4 linked regions of the Drosophila melanogaster genome follow. The protein of the gene in region 3 interacts with the protein of the main gene of each other region in a pairwise test. Each region holds a gene or a part of one and is shown on either strand. Other genes may lie near its edges.

Region 1 (5,350 bases), 1.3 Mb from region 3:
ACTGCGGTTCGATGGTTTCGTGGCGATAGCGCTTCCTGGTGGCCAGGTGCTGGAATACCGCCCATGCGATGTGATATGTGGTGCGCAGGGTATCGGACGTCTCTGCCTGGCGGCGGAACACCGATCCACTGCTGCCGCTGCCTGTTGGTGACTCATCCTCTGGCAGATCGCTAGTGCGTCGCTGTTGCTGGGCGGTGGAGGTGGAGGAGCTCGTAGTAGCCGCTATGGCCGCATTGTGCTTGGCCTCATCACTGGTGCAGGTGCTAAGGATCTTGGACTTCATCAGCTTCGGATCCTTCTCGACAATGCCGAGCGTTGTGCACTTGGCACAATGGCCCGCTTGTCGTGGTCGCAAAGGAGTGCCGGCGATGGAGCAAGTGATGCATTTGCAGTTCCTGATATGGTACATAATGATAAAAATAATTTTAAAATTTTAATTTATATTATTTATTATTTTGTAAAATTTCAGATTGGGTGCACAATCTACCCAATCTACTTACTCGTTATGGTGCTCGAGAAGTGAATTGCACTTCTTGCAGAGATCCTCGTGCACCAGCTTATTGGGCGGATCGTAGAAGCCATCGGGCCACTTCAGCTTCGTGAAGGCCATGATATTCTTCCAGGCCAGCTGGCGATCGACGATGCGCTGGAAGTCTATAAACTCATCGTCGCTGATATCCGGCAGCGAAAAAGATGTGGCGTCCAGGACGACCTTGTCGAATATGTTGTACACATCGAGCAGGCCCATCCGGCGCTCGTGCTCCGTTGGCGACAAGTTAAACTTATTTAGCTCGATCCAGATGTCCGTCCAGCGCCGCTCAATGGAGTGCATGTGCTCGTCGAACAGCATGTACCGCTTAATCAGCGCCGTCGTCTGGGCCGATGGAGCCACCTCCTTCAACGACAGGATGCAGGCCAGCATGGTATCACCCAGGGGTGTGAATACATGCTGCTGGAAAAGGCGCTGGCATAGAAGAACCCACGACAGCCTGAACTTTCGCAGGAAATCGTTCTCAAACGCAAACAGGCTGAGCGAGATCTTCTGCGAGATGCAATTCAGATCAGAGTAGCCGTCCAGAATGTCTACACAGGGTTAAAAAACAAGAGTGATTCATTGAGTTTATATGTAAGTGGATTTTCCCTATGAAACCAGTTCGAGTTAAAAGATAAATTCCTCCTAGTCACTAAATTTATGTACTTAAGAGAAGAATATGCCCCTTATTTATTTAGTTAGCTATCATTTGAGAATTCCCTTACATGTCAGCATCCTTTCTGCCGAAATCTTCTCGTTTTCCTGAATATTTTGGGCAATTTCGATCATGCCCTCGGAAAACGCTTTCACAATGCATTCAACATTATAGGCGAGTATTTGTAGCAGCAGCATCGGATTGTTAGCCATTAATCTGTGAACAGATAATGCGTTTAAAGTAAACAAATGCAGGACTGGGGTGTTCACTTACATGGCGCTGAATAGCACTAATATCATATTGTCGGAGATCGCTGTATCATCAATAAAATCAAGATATTCGGCATTTTTATCGTAGAGGTAACCGCTCGTAATCCAATAGATCTCCTTGTTGCACTCAAGCAGTTTCTCAAACTTATTGTAGGCAGCATCGTTTCTGGAACAGAGATGTTTAAATGATTACCAACTGACTTAGGAGACTTTTTCTTATTGCAGTTTTGCAGACTGTTCTTACTTCAACATGGGACTGTAGGCCTTGATCAGTACGTCTAGCAACATGACCACCATGTGCGCAGCCTTAAATTGATCCATCATGATGGCCATGATGGTTTCGCGGTATTCGAGACATTCCTTGCAGGAACAAAATGTGAAGAACTCCTCCTTCCGGTGTTTCACAAATATGAAGGCAAGATTCTGGAAATATAGCTACAATGGATTAGGAGTACGTTTCGTTATACATCTTAATCCTTTCAAGCAAACACACCGTAATTGCACGCAGCTGTCCGTCGGCGTCACGAAGCGGATTCTTTGGATCCTCAGAGAACAGGCGCATGTTCTCAATGGCCATCTGAAAAGAAGGTGAACGATAGTGAGTATTTACTGAGAAAGCTTTATATTCTCAAATATAATGTATTTGGTATGATTGCACCTATCAATATTCTAAAGCATAATTTCAAATAAGTGTTCTTTAAACCAAAAAAAATCATGTTTAAGTATTTCGAAACATCTAAAGTCGATCTAATAAGATAATTTCTATCCCATTTGATTTGATAACTCATTAAATCCAATCTAAATGTAGGTATAATATAAAAAAATCCCACACACATCTTTAATAGTACATTTAAATAAAAAAAATACATGAAATGAAATCGATCTCCACAGCTTTCGGGCAGCTTCTGGGAACCCACCAAATACGATCGCGTCTCATCGTTGGGATCGCCGCCCTTGTGCTCGCACTCGTGCAGCAGCTTGTCGCTGAGCTCCAGTTCGATGGCGTTGTCTTCCCGCTGGCTCCACTGCATCAGCGATACGACCTCCTTGTAGACCGTCTCCGCTTTGGGGGCGGGGGCATAAGGATCAAAAGGAGGCAGGGCGAGGATCGTGTGCAGCGTGTTGATGATGTTGCCGTCGGGAAAGCTGAGCCGCTCCAGGAGCTGGCATGGCGGTGAGCTGCTCCGCGCCGGCTTCGCCTGTTGGACACCAGCAGGCGGTGGCGACGGATTCAGCTGGGAAGCGGTGGCGACGCAGGAGGAGGACGCTGTGGCATCCACATCGCCCTCCGCATCCGCATCTACATCTACGTCCATGGAGGACAGAGACATCACATGGCAGCAGGAAGGCGGCGCCTCCTCCATTGGCAGTTCGCCATTGACCAGCGGCTCATCTGCATCCGTTTCTTTGGTGTGCGCCACCTGATCGGCCATTTCTGGCGGGGCTTTCACGCGGTGGATGGGTCAATGAGCCCAGCCAACTCAGTCAGTCCCCGGCTCCGGATCACTTGTTAGTCTTTGGTGCTTCTGCTGGCCAAATCCGCGTATGCGCGACGCATTATTATATACGAAATCACAGATGTAGATGCACTTTCACTCGCTCACTGTATGCGCGCGCGTGTCTGTGTGTGTGCGCTGGTGTGTCGGTGTGCAAGTGTATAAGTGTGGGTATTGGATTGGTTTGGTTTTTGGAATCGAAATCGGTTTTGGAAAAGAACGCAGAGCAGCACAACGCAACGCGCTTTGCCCCTCGAATCGCGCCAAGTGCGCCTCTGCTTTCATCAGCGTTTCACTGCAGGGCCATCCGTTTGGATTTTCCGGGACCCGACTTTCCGTTGCCTCGCAGTTTCCGTTTCGTTTGCACCCACGATTGTTGTGATTTTCCGCTTTTTGTGATTTTTCGCCTGCTCGTTGCAATTCGCTCGTTTCTCGTTGATTGCATTCGCATCGGTGTGCCCGTGGCGGCCTTCGCTCAAATTACCGCAACGCCGCGCAAGAGTCACGAATAAATGGTCATACCCCGTGCACACTTGTTTGGCCGAAAAGTTTTCTACATCTATCCCAAAGAACAAACACAAACTTTTATTTATATGAGCTTTACTTTACTTCTGTGTGGTCCATTCTTAGAAAACTATACTAATGCGTTCTTAAAAATTTGATTTGGGAAATGTTAAAAAAGCATTTTAAGCCATACAAAAATTGTAAAACCATAGGAATGTATGTTTCATATACTTTTTTCAACATATATTGTAGGTAAAACAAATCATCATGTATTTATACAGAAAAAGGTCCCAAAGATCTAAAAATTTCCTATTCTGTCTATGGAATAAACACATTTATAATGCAAGAAAATATATTTTACAGTAAATTCTTTCAATTCGATAGTGGGCCAAATGTCGTACAGAATATATCCGTGTCCCTTCGATGTGTTGACAACCCTGACCGAATTTCGTAATTTCGAAACGAACGAATTCAGCCGGCGAAGTGGAGAAGAAAATGTCCGCATCGACGGACCAGGATCCCGTGGAACTAATGCTGAAGAAGACCGGCTGCATAGAGCTTCACTACAAGGTGCAGGAGTGTATCGCCGAGACGGGCGACTGGAGGGCTTGCCAGGAGAAGGTGAAAGAGTTCCGGGCGTGCATGCAGAAGTACGTGGAGCAGCAGAGCCAGAAGTATGCCCACGTCAAGTAGCATCCTGCAGAAGTTCCTCAGCAACGGTTTGGCCTTCGGCAAGTCCACCAAACTGGCGCTGGTGGTCCGAACCGACCTAAAGATGTCCAAGGGAAAGACAGCGGCCCAGTGCGCCCATGCGGCGGTCATGTGCTACCAGAGCTCTGTGCAGGGAACCAAGCTGCAGAACGCCATTCTGCAGCGTTGGTGTCGCCTGGGACAGCCGAAGATAGTGCTGCGCGTGGACAACTTCGAGCAGCTAAACTCCCTGGAGCGACAGGCCCAAGAGTCGAACGTGGTGGCCGCCTTGGTGAGGGATGCCGGGCGCACTCAGCTGGAATCTGGGACAGCAACGGTCCTCGGACTGGGTCCAGCCCCTGCCGAAGATCTAGACAAATTGGTGGCGCATTTGAAGCTTTTGTGAACTCTTAGGTTTATGCAACGTTACAAATAAAGTACAAGTAATCAACAAGTGCTCAAGCGGCGGTCTTCTTGCCCTTGGAAACTGTAGATATAGTAAGGGACACTGCTTGGCCGAACATCTCCACCAGGTCTGATGTAACTCGCTCCGTGATCTGCCGCAGCTTGCCATTACCCTCGCCACAGATTAGGCGCTCGATTCGCGTGGTGGGGCACTGAACCTGCACGGATGTGTAGACAACATCTGCAAAGAAAATCGGAATTGAAAAGGATTTCTTTACGAGTGTACAGAAGTACTCACTTTTTTCCACACTGTAGTACTCGATCTCGCACTTAAGGTTGTAGGGTATCTCCTGCGGCAAGTAGTCCAGCAGACGAGCCCGCACACTCTCCACAATTAATGCTTCTGGGCTGGAGTCCGTATGAATGTCAGCTGGGTATTTCCAATCCCTGGGCTTAGCCTGGCCCACCAGGTAGTTCTGCATCTCCTGCAGCCCATTGCCGGTCAAGGCGGAAACAAGAAACACGTCGCTAAAATGGCTCCAGCTAGACTCCCGCTTGTTGATTCTTATTTCCTTGGCGAGAGCACTTTTTGCCTGGACTTCCCGCTTGCCAACTGTCAAGGTGTCGTTGGTGAGTGTCTTGATCAGATCCAACAGCAAACGCTTCGACTTCAGGGCGTCTATCTTATTCAGCACCAGGAAACTGGGCAGGTTGCTATACGCCTTCAGCGTATCCAAGACAGTGGGATGCAGTTCCTTCCTAGTCCAGGCATTTGAGGCATCGTGCACCACGGCGATGA
Region 2 (4,463 bases), about 10 Mb from region 3:
AGAGTTCAGTGCACCAGGAGATCACCAAGGAGGACATCCTAATGGCCGCTAAGAAATTGAGCATTTTTGGCAACGGGTATGGGTCATTACCTCTGCTTGCATTCAATATCACAAGTTTCTCGTTTTCCATAACGTACCTTCAGCTTTGTGGTTCACAAGCTGGGCAAGGGCAAGTACATAGTTCAGTCCATTCCCGGAGAGCTGAGCATGGAGGAGACCAACATACTGAATGCCGCATCCAATACCGAACAAGGCTGTGTTACGCAGAGTCAGCTGATCAAGGATTTGGGGTAAGAATTTCACTTGTACTTTCAACTGAATATCCCTTTGATTTCCGTGTTATCCGTTCTCAGCTGGACCGACTATCGTGCTCAACAGTCACTGGACAAGGTGCTCGGCGAAGGTCTCTGTTGGATTGACAAGCAGGCGGGCGATGAGCCAGCCTATTGGTTTCCCAGTTTGTTTCCCGGTCGAAACGCACAGACAACGGCCGCCACATAGTGTGATCTCGTAGAACTAATTTATTATGTACGAGAGTTATCATAAAATATATATTTGTACAACCGTAAAATCAGCGTGAAGTCTGCTTGGAGCTATCGCCTGCGGCACCGCTCTTAAGCAGTTCGTTTTCCGCCAGCAGCACGGAGTTCTCCTCCCTTAACTTGTAAATTTCCGATTCGAAGCGTTGCGTGATGTCCTCCATGCCCTCGCGGTATTTCTCCTTCATTTTCTTGTGATCCATTATGCAGCGATCCATTTGAGACTTATAGTACATTTTTCTAAAAGCGTTATGATTTATAATCATGTTTGTCATTAATTGTCTATGTTGTATACTCACATCCTGGCATCTTCGGCATCCCCACCGTAAGCTTCAGTAACGGATCGCTCCAGTTCGCCAAGTCGCCGGCAAGTTGCCTCCAACTCGGCCTCCAGCTTATCGTTCTGCTTCAGCACCTCCTTGTACTTTTGCTCCAGGCGATTGCTCCGGGTCTCCAGCATGTGCACCACCGACTTATGATCGACAGCCAGTTTTTTCAGCTAAAATTTGTAAGTGTAACTATAAGTGATAATTATTATACGAATATAGACTTTTACCTTCTCCTTTATGGTGGTAATTATAATGTCCTTTTGCTTGAGCATATTCTTCAGATGGCCCACTTCAACGTCGACGCGTGTGGAGGCCTCATCCATTATGGTACCGATATTGGAGGCTAGGTGGGTCATCTCCTCCTTGTAGGTCTCGGCCAGCTTTGTGGCATCTATTTTCTCCTTGTTTGCCTCTTCGCTGAGTATGATAGCCTCCTCGAGCTTGCGCATGGCGGCGGTTTCCCGTCTTGTGCTCTCCATGAGCAAATTGTGGGTGTGGCTCAGCGATAGTTCGTACTCCTTAAGCTGCTTCTGCAGGATGGACACCTTGGATTGACTCTGCTCGCTATCCTGCAGTTGAGCATGCAGCTGCTGGAGTTGCAATCCGCTGTGCTGCTTGTGATCGTGCAGGGCCTTTATGGTCTCCGCCTGCGTGCGTATCTCCTTCTGCTGGTCCTCAACTTTTGCCTCCAGCACTTTGACGATCTTCGAGTACCGCTGTATGACCTAAAATTGAATTCCGAAAACGTTGAAGTTTACTTTAGGATTTTTCCATTAGTCTCTGGTCCCTAAAACATACGATTTGGTCAAAGCTTACTATAATATGATAATCAATACGGGATTGGAATGATGAAGTGCAATAATACCTGGTCATCTCCAGACATTTTCAATTGGACGCGATAATTCTTAAGATCCATCTCCATGGTTTCGATGGTCTGTTTGGAGAGGTCATGCATGGTTTTCAGGCTGTTCCGTTCCTTGATAAGCTCATCCACCTGCTTCTTGGACGCGTCCAAAGCCTTGTTGCTGAGTTGAAGGCGATGCTTGAGCTCCTGGTAATCGCCGCTAACCAAGATGCTCCTGCATTTGGCCAATTCGATGTCCAGCCGGCGGTTCTCATTTAGAATTTCGTTGAGGTGAACCTTCAGTTCGGCCTGATCCCGCATCAGTCGATCCACTCCTTCACACATTTCCAGCACAAAGTTGCTAAATGGTGAATTGGCTGCGCGTTGACTAACTTTAGTTGACAAATTTTCCTTTGCTCTCCTACCTGAGAATGGCTTGCTGATTTTCGTGTTGTGTCATATTTGTTGTGTGTTTGGAATCATATTATTTTTCACAGCAGAGTTGTGTATCGGGTTTATTGTGTGTTTGTATAGAATTTCATCAATGAACCAAACAAAATGTTTATGTTTGACATGAGACGAGTTTCTGCGATGAAGCAAGCTTTGTCTTTTAAATTATCAGGCATTTAAAATCCTGTTGAAGGCAGTTTGGCTTAGAAATCCATCCGTATCCCCGCGTGCAGCAAGGAGTTCTCTGTATTTCACCGATTTTATGCAACTGGCAACCTTTTGCTGCCCCTCGTCAATCTCTGACAGCCAGCCGCTACCCTTCAAGCAGGTACATATGGATACGGTCTTACTAGCCATTAAAAACCTGGCACGAGTCCTGCCGCGAACGCTGATCCCCTGACAAGTGTCTGTTGTCCTGGGCAACGGGGCAGTGGCAAACAAATGGGGATGTAATCGAAATGTGGTCAACTTTCCGTTTCAGTTGTTTGCAATGCCGCTCTTCAACAAGAAGTTCGAGTCGAAGCCGATTCCAGTGCGTCAGGGACGTTGCAATATAGGACATCCGGTGGCCACCGAGGATCTGGATGACTTCCGCCAGATTTCCCTAACGCTGGGCAACAAGGAGCTGCGTTTTGCGGACGGCATCTGGATGCATTCGACCCGAAAGGGTGACGTAGATGATATGCTCCGGCTGAACAAGAAGTTTCGTGCCCTCGAGGAGGAGAACAATATGTGTAATCTTAAGATCGAGGTGATGCTGGATCTGCTGGCCGAGCGCGACGGAACTAAGTGAGCTGAAGCCAAAGGAAAAGTGATAAAAAAGCTGTATAAAATAAACAAAATATTTGATATACTGAATATTTTTTATTGTCAAATGTTAAAACCCAAGAAACTACATAAATACGTTTTGATTTCACTAATAAAATGCTAAAATCTTAAAAATTCCTAAGCGATGACTAAGGCTGATGAGTGTTTGAGTTATTGGTGGAATCATTCTCGGAATTTACCCACTTAGAGTGGACCTTACTAAGTCGCGAGTACTCAGCTTCATACTGTTGCATTAGATCATCCATGTCTCTCTTGAAGGAAACCATAATTTCTTCCTGCACACCTTTGTACATTTCCACTTGATCCTTGTGAAGTTTTCTTCTATAAATGCCAATAAAGTTAAGTAAATGCTATCATAAATAAAGTTATGATCTCACAATTCAGCTTGTTGTTCCTCCATATCGGGATTGGATTCAATGGCCGATTGTTTCACTCTAGCTTCAAGGTTTTCATCCAGCTTCAAAGCTTCCATATATTTCTGCTTCAAGCGTTCCTTTTTTCTGTGTTAAAAAAAAATGTTCATGTAAATATTATACGTAAATGATTTAGGATCATACAGCAAAATTTGAACTTCTTTATTGGGATCATCAACAGAGCATTCCACCTTGATCTCAGGTTCCATATGCATCACAAAATCTTCATCGAATTTAACACTGTTTTCAATCTTGGGATGGGATTTAGAAATGTTTTGATAAAGCTGGCAGGTATTCTGCATAAAGTAGGTACAGTTTTGATTTCGCTCAGGTTCTCTTTTGAATCCCACCATTGTTGGGGTTAATGATTTTGCAGCCTCATCTATAAAGTTCTTGGATTTAATGCTCAAATTTGCGATGACATCGTTCAAGTCGTCCATATCGTCCTGATTCTGAACCAAAACCTAAAACTTTATATCCTTGGCTTTAAGACCAATAACTCGATAAATTTATACTGAATTAAATGGTGATAGTAAACTAAATGCAAAGGGAACATGTTTCCATTTGTTTCTCGATCACAAAGTAAATCAGTTCGAGTAATAAGCGCATTTGTTTATTTATCGTAAATACCATAAATTTATTTTTACCCAAAGTAAGCTAATTTCGATTAAGACCCAACCACATACTTGAGTCCTATTTATAATGCCACATTAATCAGTTTCACATGCCCATCGGGAAGTTATCAAGTGGTCTGGCTGGGGGGCTTTTGTTGACCGGCCCATTGGGAATTAATTTGGATTTGTTGCGCATTTCGAGCATGGCGAGCATTGGAGCTGCTGGTCAAATTGGTGGCATTGTTGTCGCCATTTGTAGCAATCTATAGACGCCATTTGTTGGTATCGCGGAGTTCCGGCGTCGAGCAGCCGGTGGCTTCTGCTCCATTTATGGGCCGTTTGATAAGCCACCACCACCCGATAAGCTCCGGCTATCGATGGGTTCGCTTGAAACCCATGGCTTATCACCAAAAACCAAACCCACTGTGTGACTCGCACAAGAGCTG
Region 3 (3,903 bases):
TTTTCGTAGATTTCGCTTCTTAGAACTTTGTTTACATTGATTTCGGTTAGCTCGCATAAAATCTCCGAAAGCAACTTGTCCGGATACTTTTTCGAGGGCGTGGCCAGCTTCAGAAGGTTGTCGGTGTCCGTGGAGTCGCACGTGCGACAAATCACCGGCAGCTTCATGGCGAACAAATTTGTTTTGGCCAATTGAAAGCTTTTTTAATTTTAAATCAACAATCAGAAAATCAACATTATTGATGGTATGACCTTGATGCGAGAGATGGAAAATACCGTTCGGTCATTAAAAAAATACCACGTTGTTAAAAAATACAGCAATTAATTGGGTGCGTTCAGCAGAGTCCGCTAATTATTTTCAAAGGGAAATATTACACAAATATTTTTAAAATAAACTGAAGAAATTGTTAAATTATGAAAAATATAAATCAATATCCACCAGACAAACAATTAATACAAATATTACAGAACCATTAGAAACTGTGATTAAAAAATCACGACTTAAAATTTACTGCTGACGGTGACCAATTGTTGAATGTGAAATCAATAGTGCACTTTTATTACAATAAATCTACAATAGAGCGACGATAATTTGTTATTTAATCTAAATTGGAGCTTAAATTAGTTTGTGGCGTGTGCACGTTTAGCATACGCGAAATCCGGCAAACCGAAACAGAGCCTCGACCCGATTAGATCCAATCCTCTAGTATTTCTTGATCGTTTTCCGTATGAGGGCAAGGCGCTGTTTGTGCGCCTCCGTGACAGCTGCCCGCTTGTAGGGACGCAGTTCGTCCGTACCGAAGCCGGGTATCCACATGTTGTACTTCCGCTCAAAGTGCAGCTGCACGTCGCGCACCTCGATCTTGTTAGACTTTCGGTGCTTGGCGAAGGCGCTCGTCGACTTGACGGTGTCCTCGACAAAGTCGTCGATGATCTGAAGCAGAAGCTCCTCAACATCCTCGTCCAGCTGCGTGGTGGTATCCACCTCTCGGACGAGCTCTGTGAGACGCGGTTTGGTAAGCATCTGTAATTCGGAAGAGAGTTAAACTAGACCCTGGCGTATTCCGTGTGCACTCCATAAGGCACGCATCTTACGGGAGTGTTCTCGGAACCGGCGGCGGATGATGTGTGATTGGATGACTTGCTACCACCAGATATGGGGCCCGTTCCCGTACCCAAACCGGAAACCGGTCCGCCGTTCTGCGAGGATGAGTTGCTGTTGTTGGTCATCGGACTGTGCTGGGAGGGCGAGGCCATGGGTGGGTCGTGGAGCAGTCCGCTGGCGGACGATGTGGAGTTGTGGTTGTGGTGCAGGTGGTGCTCGGCGACGCCGTTGCTATCGAAAGTGGTAAAGAGATCCGACATTGCTTTTGGGTTTCTTCAGAGTCAAATCAAGTGGGTGGTAGGTCGGTTGGTTGGAAGTGTTTGGGGAAAGTACAGTAAGTTGGGCGGATTTTTGGGGAGTGGGTAAGAGTGCAGAACCAAAGCCAAAAGCGTTAGTGTACTTGTTGTTGTTGCTGCTTATGTTGTGTGTCCTCCTGCTTTCTCAACTGCAGTCGGTGATTGTGTGTGCGTGGGTGTTTGGTTGCAAAGCGAAATGTAAGTAAAAGAATAGAGTGGTCAATTTCACGCGTGCGGTCTTAAGAATCCGTCGCTTTGTGTGTTTACTAAAACTAAAGTGTTACTTAGCAGTTGCTCTTAGCGCATGCAACACTTACAATTATTGCGGTTTTAACACTTTGATCTTAAACTATTACTTTCCTAAATTACTAAACAAAATAAAAATAAGCGGAGCAACTACAGCCAAATCAACAGTATGGCCAGTTGCAGGCGACTCTGAAATGCCCGCTGGTGCTATAAAGCAATTTGGTATATTTACGTTTAATTTCAGTATATTTTAGTTAGACAGCCACACTGGCGTGGAGTTCAAAACAAAACAAAGACGGCGTATTTTGCAAATATCACGTAGATAAGGAATATATTTTACTTTGTAATTGGGAACAATAGCTGCGCAAAAGAAACATGTCAGCGAGCGAAGAAACAATAGCGGACAGTCAGGTCTCCGAGAATGTGGAGGATGTGGAATTCGTAGACATGGCGTTCACAAAGGAGTTGCGTAAAGCCACAAAAGATGTGCATAATCTTACTGATGTTCTAGTGAATGCAAAGATCGCACTTGGTTCGTTAATTACACGATATTATTAGAAGTTATTAGATATTCCTCTTCTTCCATAGCCCTTTCTGATGACGAGGTCTGGTATGATGGACTCCTGGCCTTCTACGAACTGTACAAATTCTTTGAGACCCATCTGCCGGAGCGCCTGCTGCCCAAAGAATTCCACAGAACAGCGGCATTTGAAAGGGATTTTGCCTATTTCTACGGTTCCGATTGGAGGAAGGACTACGAAATTCGCCCGGCGGTCCAGAAATATCTCGAGCATCTGGAAAAGATTGCCGCACAGAACGAACTCTTGCTGTTCGCCTACTCCTATCAGATGTACATGGCTTTGATGTCCGGCGGACAAATGTTGCAGAAGAAGCGTATGATCGCTCGTAAAATGTGGATCTTTTCAAAGAACGATGACGAGGAGCAGCAGAAGCAGGCCGACAAGGAGGCAGAGTTGGCCACCGCCAGAGCTGCCGATGGCTCTGTAGACAAAGACGACTTGGAGGCCAGGCCAATGCCTGCCCAGGTTACCATTTGCCCGCCGGGATGTGAGGCCACATATTTTCCTGAGAAGGTGCGTAGCTTTTTACTTTGTTCCTTATATCTATTGTCTTTATATCCACTTTCAGATCTCTGTCTTAAAGGCCAAACTAAGGCGCGTTTTCAACAATCACTACGGAGCTTTTGACGATGATTTGCGTGCTGCTTTTATTGAGGAAAGTCGCAACGTATTTCGCTTAAATATAGAAGTAGTACGGACCATCAAAGGTGTGAATCGTGCCAATCTTAGGAAGCTGGCCCTCGCACTAATCTTTGTTTCAAGTATTGTAGTGGCCGTGAAATTTGCTCTCAAGTAAGAAAAGTAGGAAATACAAATGTAAGCTCTCTTGAGCAAGTTAGAATTGTGATCACACATTTATTTAGTCGTTTGTTAAATAGTAAATAACCTGAAATTTGTCTGAAGTAAAGTATTTATTGGGAATGTCCGTTGGCAAAATTATCAAGCAGTCCTCGTCTATTTATCCATGGCATGACACGCTCTATATTGGCCCTATAACGTTCGTTGCTAAACATTGCCTCCCTCAGGGATTTGCCATTCTCTTCATTTCCCAAAAAGCTATCAGTGGTAAAGTCATCGGTTGTCTTGTTAAGACACATCGACAAGGTAGTGAGCACAGTTCCAGCAGCTTGAAGAAAAACATGTCAGTCAGAGGAATTTAAAAACCTCAAATCCTTCTGTAAATTACCAAAAATGGGGTGCTGTATCAGAATGGCGTGCAGTTCCTTTAGCGAGGGAATAAATCCGTTGTAGTTCAACAGCTTGGCGTGCTCCTTCATGTTTTGATGATACCATCGGATAAGGTAGTCAAACTGATCGACTTTGATGTCCAGTTGAGTGGAGCTCATTATGAAGTAATACAGATCCTGGGCAGGATTTCCATACTTCGTGACTTGGTGATCCAACAGGAGGGTTTCCTTGACGCGACCATCTGATTCGTATTGGAACATGATGTTATTTATCCAGGCATCACCATGATTGAGCACATTAAACGCTTGTTCATTTATTTTGGCATCTTCAAGTATTCTGTCGACATACGTATCCAAGATCTCTGGCTGCAAAATATGATTTTGTTAAGTTAGTTACAAGGAATAAAGTAAAGTGACTTACCATTTTGTGCAAGTACTCATCCACACCGTCAAACTTGCTCACTTCTTCTATAAAGGATTTCTTAGTGT
Region 4 (5,817 bases), 3.7 Mb from region 3:
CTGCTACTACAACATGGGCAATCTGTATCTGGAGCAGAAACGTTACGCCGAAGCGCTTCATCATTGGCAGCATGCTGTGGCACTAAATCCCCGCCAGCCAAAAGCCTGGGCTAACATTCTGACAATGCTGGACAACAAGGGGTTGCAGGATGACGCCTTGCGCATCTCTAATCAGGCTCTCCAACATCTACCCAACGATGTCAGTATCCTTTTCATTCGAGCAAACGTGCTTGGCAAATTAAAACATTATACGGAGGCGGAGGCGATCTACAAGCGCGTTATTGAGCTGGAGCCCCACAACACATTGTACCACACGAATCTCGGAGTTCTCTATCATCGCTGGGACAAGACGCAGGAGGCTATAGAGGCTTATCGGACTGCAATAAGTATTAGTGCGGCTAGAGCAACGACAGCCCGGGAGAATCTCAGCAAGCTCTTAAAACGCCTGGAAAGGGAGGCGCAAGTCATGCAGAGATAAGCGTTTCAAGTCCCACCATCCAAATATGGATCCAACCAAAATCTTGGTTGTTTGCAAATAATAAGAGGTATGTACACTTCGCAAGCTGTAATAATCCCAAACGAAAGACGAGGTTGTGGGTTAAATTACTTATTCATAAAAGACATTAAAACTAGTTAGTCTAATTTAATTTTAATTCCGTGCAATATTGTATCTATATCATACATTCATATCCCATCAGCTAAAATCTCATGACACCCTAATTGTATTTAGTATAAGTTAGGATAGTTTATTCATTTACTCGAGGGTATATACAATTAATGTTAAAACTAAATAATGATCGAACAATTACAAGACGACTTACATAATTTAACTAAACTCTAGAACTAAGCGCTACATGAAATACTTCAAAGAATAGTGACAATTGTGGCACCATTGTAAAATAATTCAATTCCATTAAAGATTCATGATTTTAAAATAATAATACCGCAAATTACATAGGTTTATATATAACACATATAAACAGATCGGGCTGCTCGAACATGGAAATAGCTGAAAAACTTTGGCAGAATGCGAGACGACAGGTCGAACAAAAGAGAGATTAACGTGGACATCAGTAAATATTCAAGATACATGCATGCGTCTATGTACTATATGCGTAGGCGTAAAGGTACAACAAAGTCTTTGTGTTTGAGATACGGGTCTGTTGGGTTTTTCTGGGCGAGCAAGCAAGCAGCAGCGGCTGGCAACTAAATCAAATAATAATGAGCAAATAACACAGCTAGCACAGCAACAGGGTTATGTGGTGGTGGCGGCAACGATCTACAGCAGCACAAACTCTTCGCTTTCACTATCATCTTGGTCGTGCTCATCGCCGTGCTGTGGCGGCGCCAGTTGAGCGCCCAATTCCTGGGCCAGAGAAGCCACCTGTTTTATGAGCGGCTTGTACAGCGAATCGCTCATTTCGTCCCGCTCGTGATCCATGCAACGACCGCGGGAAAATGAGAACAATGGATAGTTCATCTCTGTTTGCTCGGTTTGATGGGATGACTGAGGCGTCGTATGATGGCTCCCGGCCGCCTTATCCACAGTTGCCCCTGAGGCGCAACGCATAGGATGCAAATACTGTTGAAATTAAGATATTTAATAGGACGTTGGAAAACGAAATGTTTGGCTTTTGCTTACCAACTGTACGCTCTCCATAAAATTGTCGAAATCACTTTTGGTGGCACAGTAAAAGCCGATACAACAACTAGGATCCATTTTGCTGGCCTTAAGCTTCCGCGGCGACTTGCAGTGAAACGAGTGCAGGGAGAAGTTCTCTTGGTTCACATCCACCATCTCCTGGCAATAGTGCGGATCCAAGTGGATGAGCCTGTCCTCCTGGAAGCCGACAAAGTACAGCGAATGCTTTGGCTTTCCACCAAGGATGCCCAGGCAGTGTTCTGTACTCAGCAGCAGCTTCAGACAATGGGCATACACAGGATTCAGTTTATCACTGCCCAGGCGCAAAGGTATCAGAACGATGAGGGACTTCCAGTGCTGTTGTTGCTCCGTTTTGGTAGTTTCCGCCTGCGGCCGCTTCGCTTGTTGCCAAGGCACATGGGGTTTTGGCGCCGGTTCCGGAATGCTGCATTGATCCTCAATATCTTGCAAGTAAACTAAAACAACACAAAGACGGTTATCAAATCACATACGTTATCAATTGAGCCCCTGAGTAATGAGCTTCGCGAACAAGGTTGCAGCAATTACTCATGAACATATCAATGTGTCATGGTAGTTATCTTATGAATCTTTGATTAAGGGATTCCTTTCTGCTTGAACTTACTCGTGCAATCTTTGGCTACATAGACACTAATATTGTCAAAGTCTGCATTTTCCTGAGCCGCGTGCTCTAAGGCGTGTCTGTGGTGAAGTTGAAGAGTTGTTTGATTTAATAAAGATTAAAAAAGCGATAAAGATCTGTACTCACTTAAGCAAATAGGAAACAGAGGCGGGACCGTACCAATCGCCAGGTTTTTTACCCAAATGCTCCCCCAGCCGCACCAGGGCGTGGATGGAGAAGGGACTGCTTTTTGAGGAACTGTCCCCGAACCACTTGACGATCTTCTTATGCATATTGTCCTCGTAAGTCGAGTGCAACTGGGACTCTGAATCATAGCGCCAGCCTGAAGCATAAAGGTTTATTGGTAATCAAACATATTTGTGCGGGTTCATTTAACTTACTTCGCCCTAGGAAGTGACAGATGAGTCCTTGAGCGAAGAGCATCTGACCACTCCTTAGCATACAGCCCCAACCGCAGTCCGAGGTGTAGTTGGAGCCATTCATTATTGGGAACTCTCGACGGTAGGTCATCCAAATCCTACTGTAAAAGTCACGACGAAAGCCTTCGATGCCCTCCTCCCAAGGCTGTTCGCCCACTTGGTTCTCCACCGCGTCCATTCCCAGTTCCTGGGGCACCACAATCTCATCGATCTGCTGCGGATTAAGGGCTGGATACAAGGAGGTTGATGTCGATGTGGCCTGAATGCTGTCGAACGCCGATGTGGCGTTATCGGGGGTGGTATCCGCCCCGCTGGGCAGCTCGGTGATGGAACTTTCCATGCTTACGGGCGGAGTAAAGCGTCGATGATAGCACCGTCCTAGCAGCCACACGGGCTGCTCCTTTGAGAAGCTGGTCTGCCTCATCTTGCCGCTCCAGCCATACTTCACATTGTGCCACATTGCGACGAGCTTGGACTCCATGCCCTTGGTGGGAGTACGGTTTGCCGACAGGTCACCGGGTTCCTCGTTGTGCTGCTCCACGTGACCGCAGCTCGGACCGCTGTTGCCGCCGCCGTAGAGCTGACTGAAGGCGTTCATGAAACGTGATGACGTCGATATTTTGCGCTGCGGAGTCGCTGTCGCAGCGTTTTCCGTCTTGAGGTTCAGATTGGCACCTGATGTGCTTACGGGGGAGGGGGAAGGGACGCGTGGAACGGCGAATACAGTGCGATGAATCGTCTGTATGGGGGCCGCCTGCTCCTCCTCGATGGCGCCGTCCTCCACCAGCGGCAAGGAGAGCGGATCCGCATCCTGGCCGCATATCCGGCTACCCTCTACAATGGTCCCCTCGCCGGCGGCTTCGAAGAGCATCAGTTTTTCGTCGGTCAACTTGGAAAGGAGGCCGTCATAGTTCATCTGGTTGGTGGCCGTGGACGAGGACATGAAAACAGAGGCGGAAGTGGTAGAAGAGCTATGACGCTTTGTCCGCAGCTTGCGGAACTTAAAGAACTGCGGCATTGTAATCTTGGTGCGAGCCCCTTGCTGGCCCTGGCTTAACTGACAACCGACCACCGATTGCGTGCTAATTACAAATGTTTACTCACCGTTTATTTGTTGACAAAATAAGATAAAGTAACTCCACGAAATTTGTTTTTCTTATTCGCGAGAAGTACAATTGCCAATTTCAGTGTTGCCAGACTGCAAATCTGCTCTATTATGAATATGTAGGTAATGTGTGTTCTTTTTTACGTTTATCTACTAATGAGTTCAAAATGAATAGTGAATTTTGTTATCAACAGGTTTGTGTTAAACTATTTTTAAACAATTTGTATCTTTATCTAAAATTCTTATACATATAATATTTGAATTAATAAATTAAAAGGCGCCTGGTATAGGTCTGCCCTTGGCATGTCCATTTAATAGTAATATTTTACGCGGAAAACGATTTCTGGAACACCCTTATTTACTTCCGGCATGTGTGCGGTCTGGCAGCTCCGCGACAAGAATGACCAGCTGTGCGGGTGCTAAAATTCTATTGCGCAACGCTGAATTTCTAAACACTCGCTTCGCCCCACACACAACATTACTGACGACAGCCGCTCAAAATGGTAAGTAATGCAAATTCCTGCAAATAGAAGCGCTTAGCTAATCGAAAACAATTCGATGTCGCCGTCCAGCAGGGCCCAATTCAAAGGTTGGTGTACACATTTGGTCATCGCACCTGTAGCCAATTGCCGATGATCGGCGGAGCAACGATATCCCAAACAAAACCAACAACAATGGCTCTCTCCGTTCGCCAATCCTCCTCCTCCGTGCTGGCCACGGAGTCCTCTAACAAGGGAATGATTATTCTGAACCGGCCCAAGGCGCTTAACGCCATCAACTTGGAGATGGTACGCAAGATCTACAAGCACCTGAAGAAGTGCGAGAAGTCCAAGTCGCTGGTGATCATCAAGGGCACAGGTGACAAGGCCTTCTGCGCCGGTGGAGATGTGCGCGCTCTGGTCGAGGCTGGCCCTACGGATGAGTCGAAGAGCTTCTTCCGGGAGGAGTACAGCACGAATGCCCTGATCGGAAACTATAAGATTCCCTACATCGCCATCATTGACGGTATTACCATGGGCGGTGGCGTGGGTCTGAGTGTGCATGGCAAGTACCGGGTGGCCAGCGATCGGACACTGTTCGCCATGCCCGAGACGGCGATTGGCCTCTTCCCGGATGTGGGTGGATCATACTTCCTGCCTCGACTGCAGGGAAAGCTGGGCCTCTATCTGGGTCTCACAGGATATCGACTGCGCGGAGCCGATGTCTATTACTCAGGCATTGCTACGCACTACTGCGAGAGCAGCAAGATCCCTGATCTGGAGACGGCTCTCCTTAACTGCCCGGATGCGGATGATGTGCCTGAGCTGCTGCAGAAGTACCATTCCCCGCCAGAAAAGCCCTTCTCGCTGCAGCCTGTCCTGGAGCAGATCAACAAGAACTTTTCAGCGGACTCGGTGGAGGGGATTCTAGAGAATCTGCAGAACGATGGCAGTGAATGGGCCAAGAAGACGCTTGAGGTGAGTGGGGCACAGTTTACTAAGTGATAAGAACACAATCGGATGTTAATTGGCTGGGCCAATCATCGCTTGACGCGCGCTTTTAGCGCCTAAATATTTGATCCGTTTCCAGCCAATTAGCAACGCTTTAGTTGCTGCACGACTTTTCTTAACTGAATAAGTTACACTAGCTCACAAACTCACACCCCACACCTTGTTGCATTTTTCTATTAGAGTTGAATTTTATTATTGAAATCAGACACATTGCTTTTTTCTTTGTTTTAGACGCTCTCGAAGATGTCTCCCACCTCGATGAAGGTTACGTTCCGTCAGTTGGAGCTCGGATCACAGCTGTCGCTGGCTCAGTGTCTTATTATGGAATATCGTCTGGCCGTGCGTCATCTGGAGCGAAGTGATTTCAAGGAGGGAGTGCGCGCCCTACTCATCGACAAGGATCAGAAGCCCCAGTGGCAGCCAACCAAGCTGGCCGATGTCACTGAGGAACATGTGCAGTGGTTTTTCCGCAAGCTACCGGACACCGAGGAACTCAAGCT

What was found.
Region 1: the proteins of Taf12 (region 3) and CG7518 interact in a two-hybrid assay, tested with the Drosophila melanogaster proteins (one large-scale study listed by BioGRID).
Region 2: the proteins of Taf12 (region 3) and CG6569 interact in a two-hybrid assay, tested with the Drosophila melanogaster proteins (one large-scale study listed by BioGRID).
Region 4: the proteins of Taf12 (region 3) and Atg4b interact in a two-hybrid assay, tested with the Drosophila melanogaster proteins (one large-scale study listed by BioGRID).

What each region holds. Positions count from the first base shown.
Region 1 is NT_033777.3:12,996,124-13,001,473, reverse strand, and holds the start of CG7518 (uncharacterized protein), read right to left. Parts: upstream 3,386-5,350; 5' UTR 2,890-3,385; coding exon 2,374-2,889; intron 2,034-2,373; coding exon 1,950-2,033; intron 1,892-1,949; coding exon 1,701-1,891; intron 1,623-1,700; coding exon 1,461-1,622; intron 1,404-1,460; coding exon 1,258-1,403; intron 1,084-1,257; coding exon 501-1,083; intron 396-500; coding exon 1-395. Other genes in the region: CG44194 (uncharacterized protein), read left to right, coding at 3,952-4,149; CG17327 (uncharacterized protein), read left to right, coding at 4,133-4,552; CG7488 (uncharacterized protein), read right to left, coding at 4,605-4,792, 4,850-5,350.
Region 2 is NT_033777.3:21,865,672-21,870,134, forward strand, and holds CG6569 (uncharacterized protein), read right to left. Parts: upstream 2,249-4,463; 5' UTR 2,173-2,248; coding exon 2,138-2,172; exon of another isoform or gene 2,074-2,137; coding exon 1,734-2,073; intron 1,684-1,733; coding exon of another isoform or gene 1,681-1,683; exon of another isoform or gene 1,656-1,680; coding exon of another isoform or gene 1,623-1,655; exon of another isoform or gene 1,594-1,622; coding exon 1,096-1,593; intron 1,039-1,095; coding exon 839-1,038; intron 780-838; coding exon 572-779; 3' UTR 502-571; downstream 1-501. Other genes in the region: lsn (larsen), read left to right, coding at 1-76, 144-290, 354-501; CG31174 (uncharacterized protein), read right to left, coding at 3,119-3,311, 3,368-3,490, 3,548-3,843.
Region 3 is NT_033777.3:11,677,850-11,681,752, forward strand, and holds Taf12 (TBP-associated factor 12), read right to left. Parts: upstream 1,842-3,903; 5' UTR 1,718-1,841; exon of another isoform or gene 1,550-1,717; 5' UTR 1,365-1,549; coding exon 1,095-1,364; intron 1,024-1,094; coding exon 703-1,023; 3' UTR 537-702; downstream 1-536. Other genes in the region: CG18476 (uncharacterized protein), read right to left, coding at 36-167; Ho (heme oxygenase), read left to right, coding at 2,022-2,178, 2,235-2,740, 2,796-3,023; CG6830 (uncharacterized protein), read right to left, coding at 3,139-3,353, 3,414-3,780, 3,836-3,903. UniProt on the Drosophila melanogaster protein: TFIID is a multimeric protein complex that plays a central role in mediating promoter responses to various activators and repressors.
Region 4 is NT_033777.3:15,352,991-15,358,807, forward strand, and holds Atg4b (Autophagy-related 4b), read right to left. Parts: upstream 3,935-5,817; 5' UTR 3,827-3,934; intron 3,639-3,826; coding exon 2,684-3,638; intron 2,626-2,683; coding exon 2,430-2,625; intron 2,363-2,429; coding exon 2,286-2,362; intron 2,119-2,285; coding exon 1,643-2,118; intron 1,583-1,642; coding exon 1,280-1,582; 3' UTR 730-1,279; downstream 1-729. Other genes in the region: Tmtc4 (transmembrane O-mannosyltransferase targeting cadherins 4), read left to right, coding at 1-478; Hibch (3-hydroxyisobutyryl-CoA hydrolase), read left to right, coding at 4,328-4,330, 4,400-5,284, 5,549-5,817.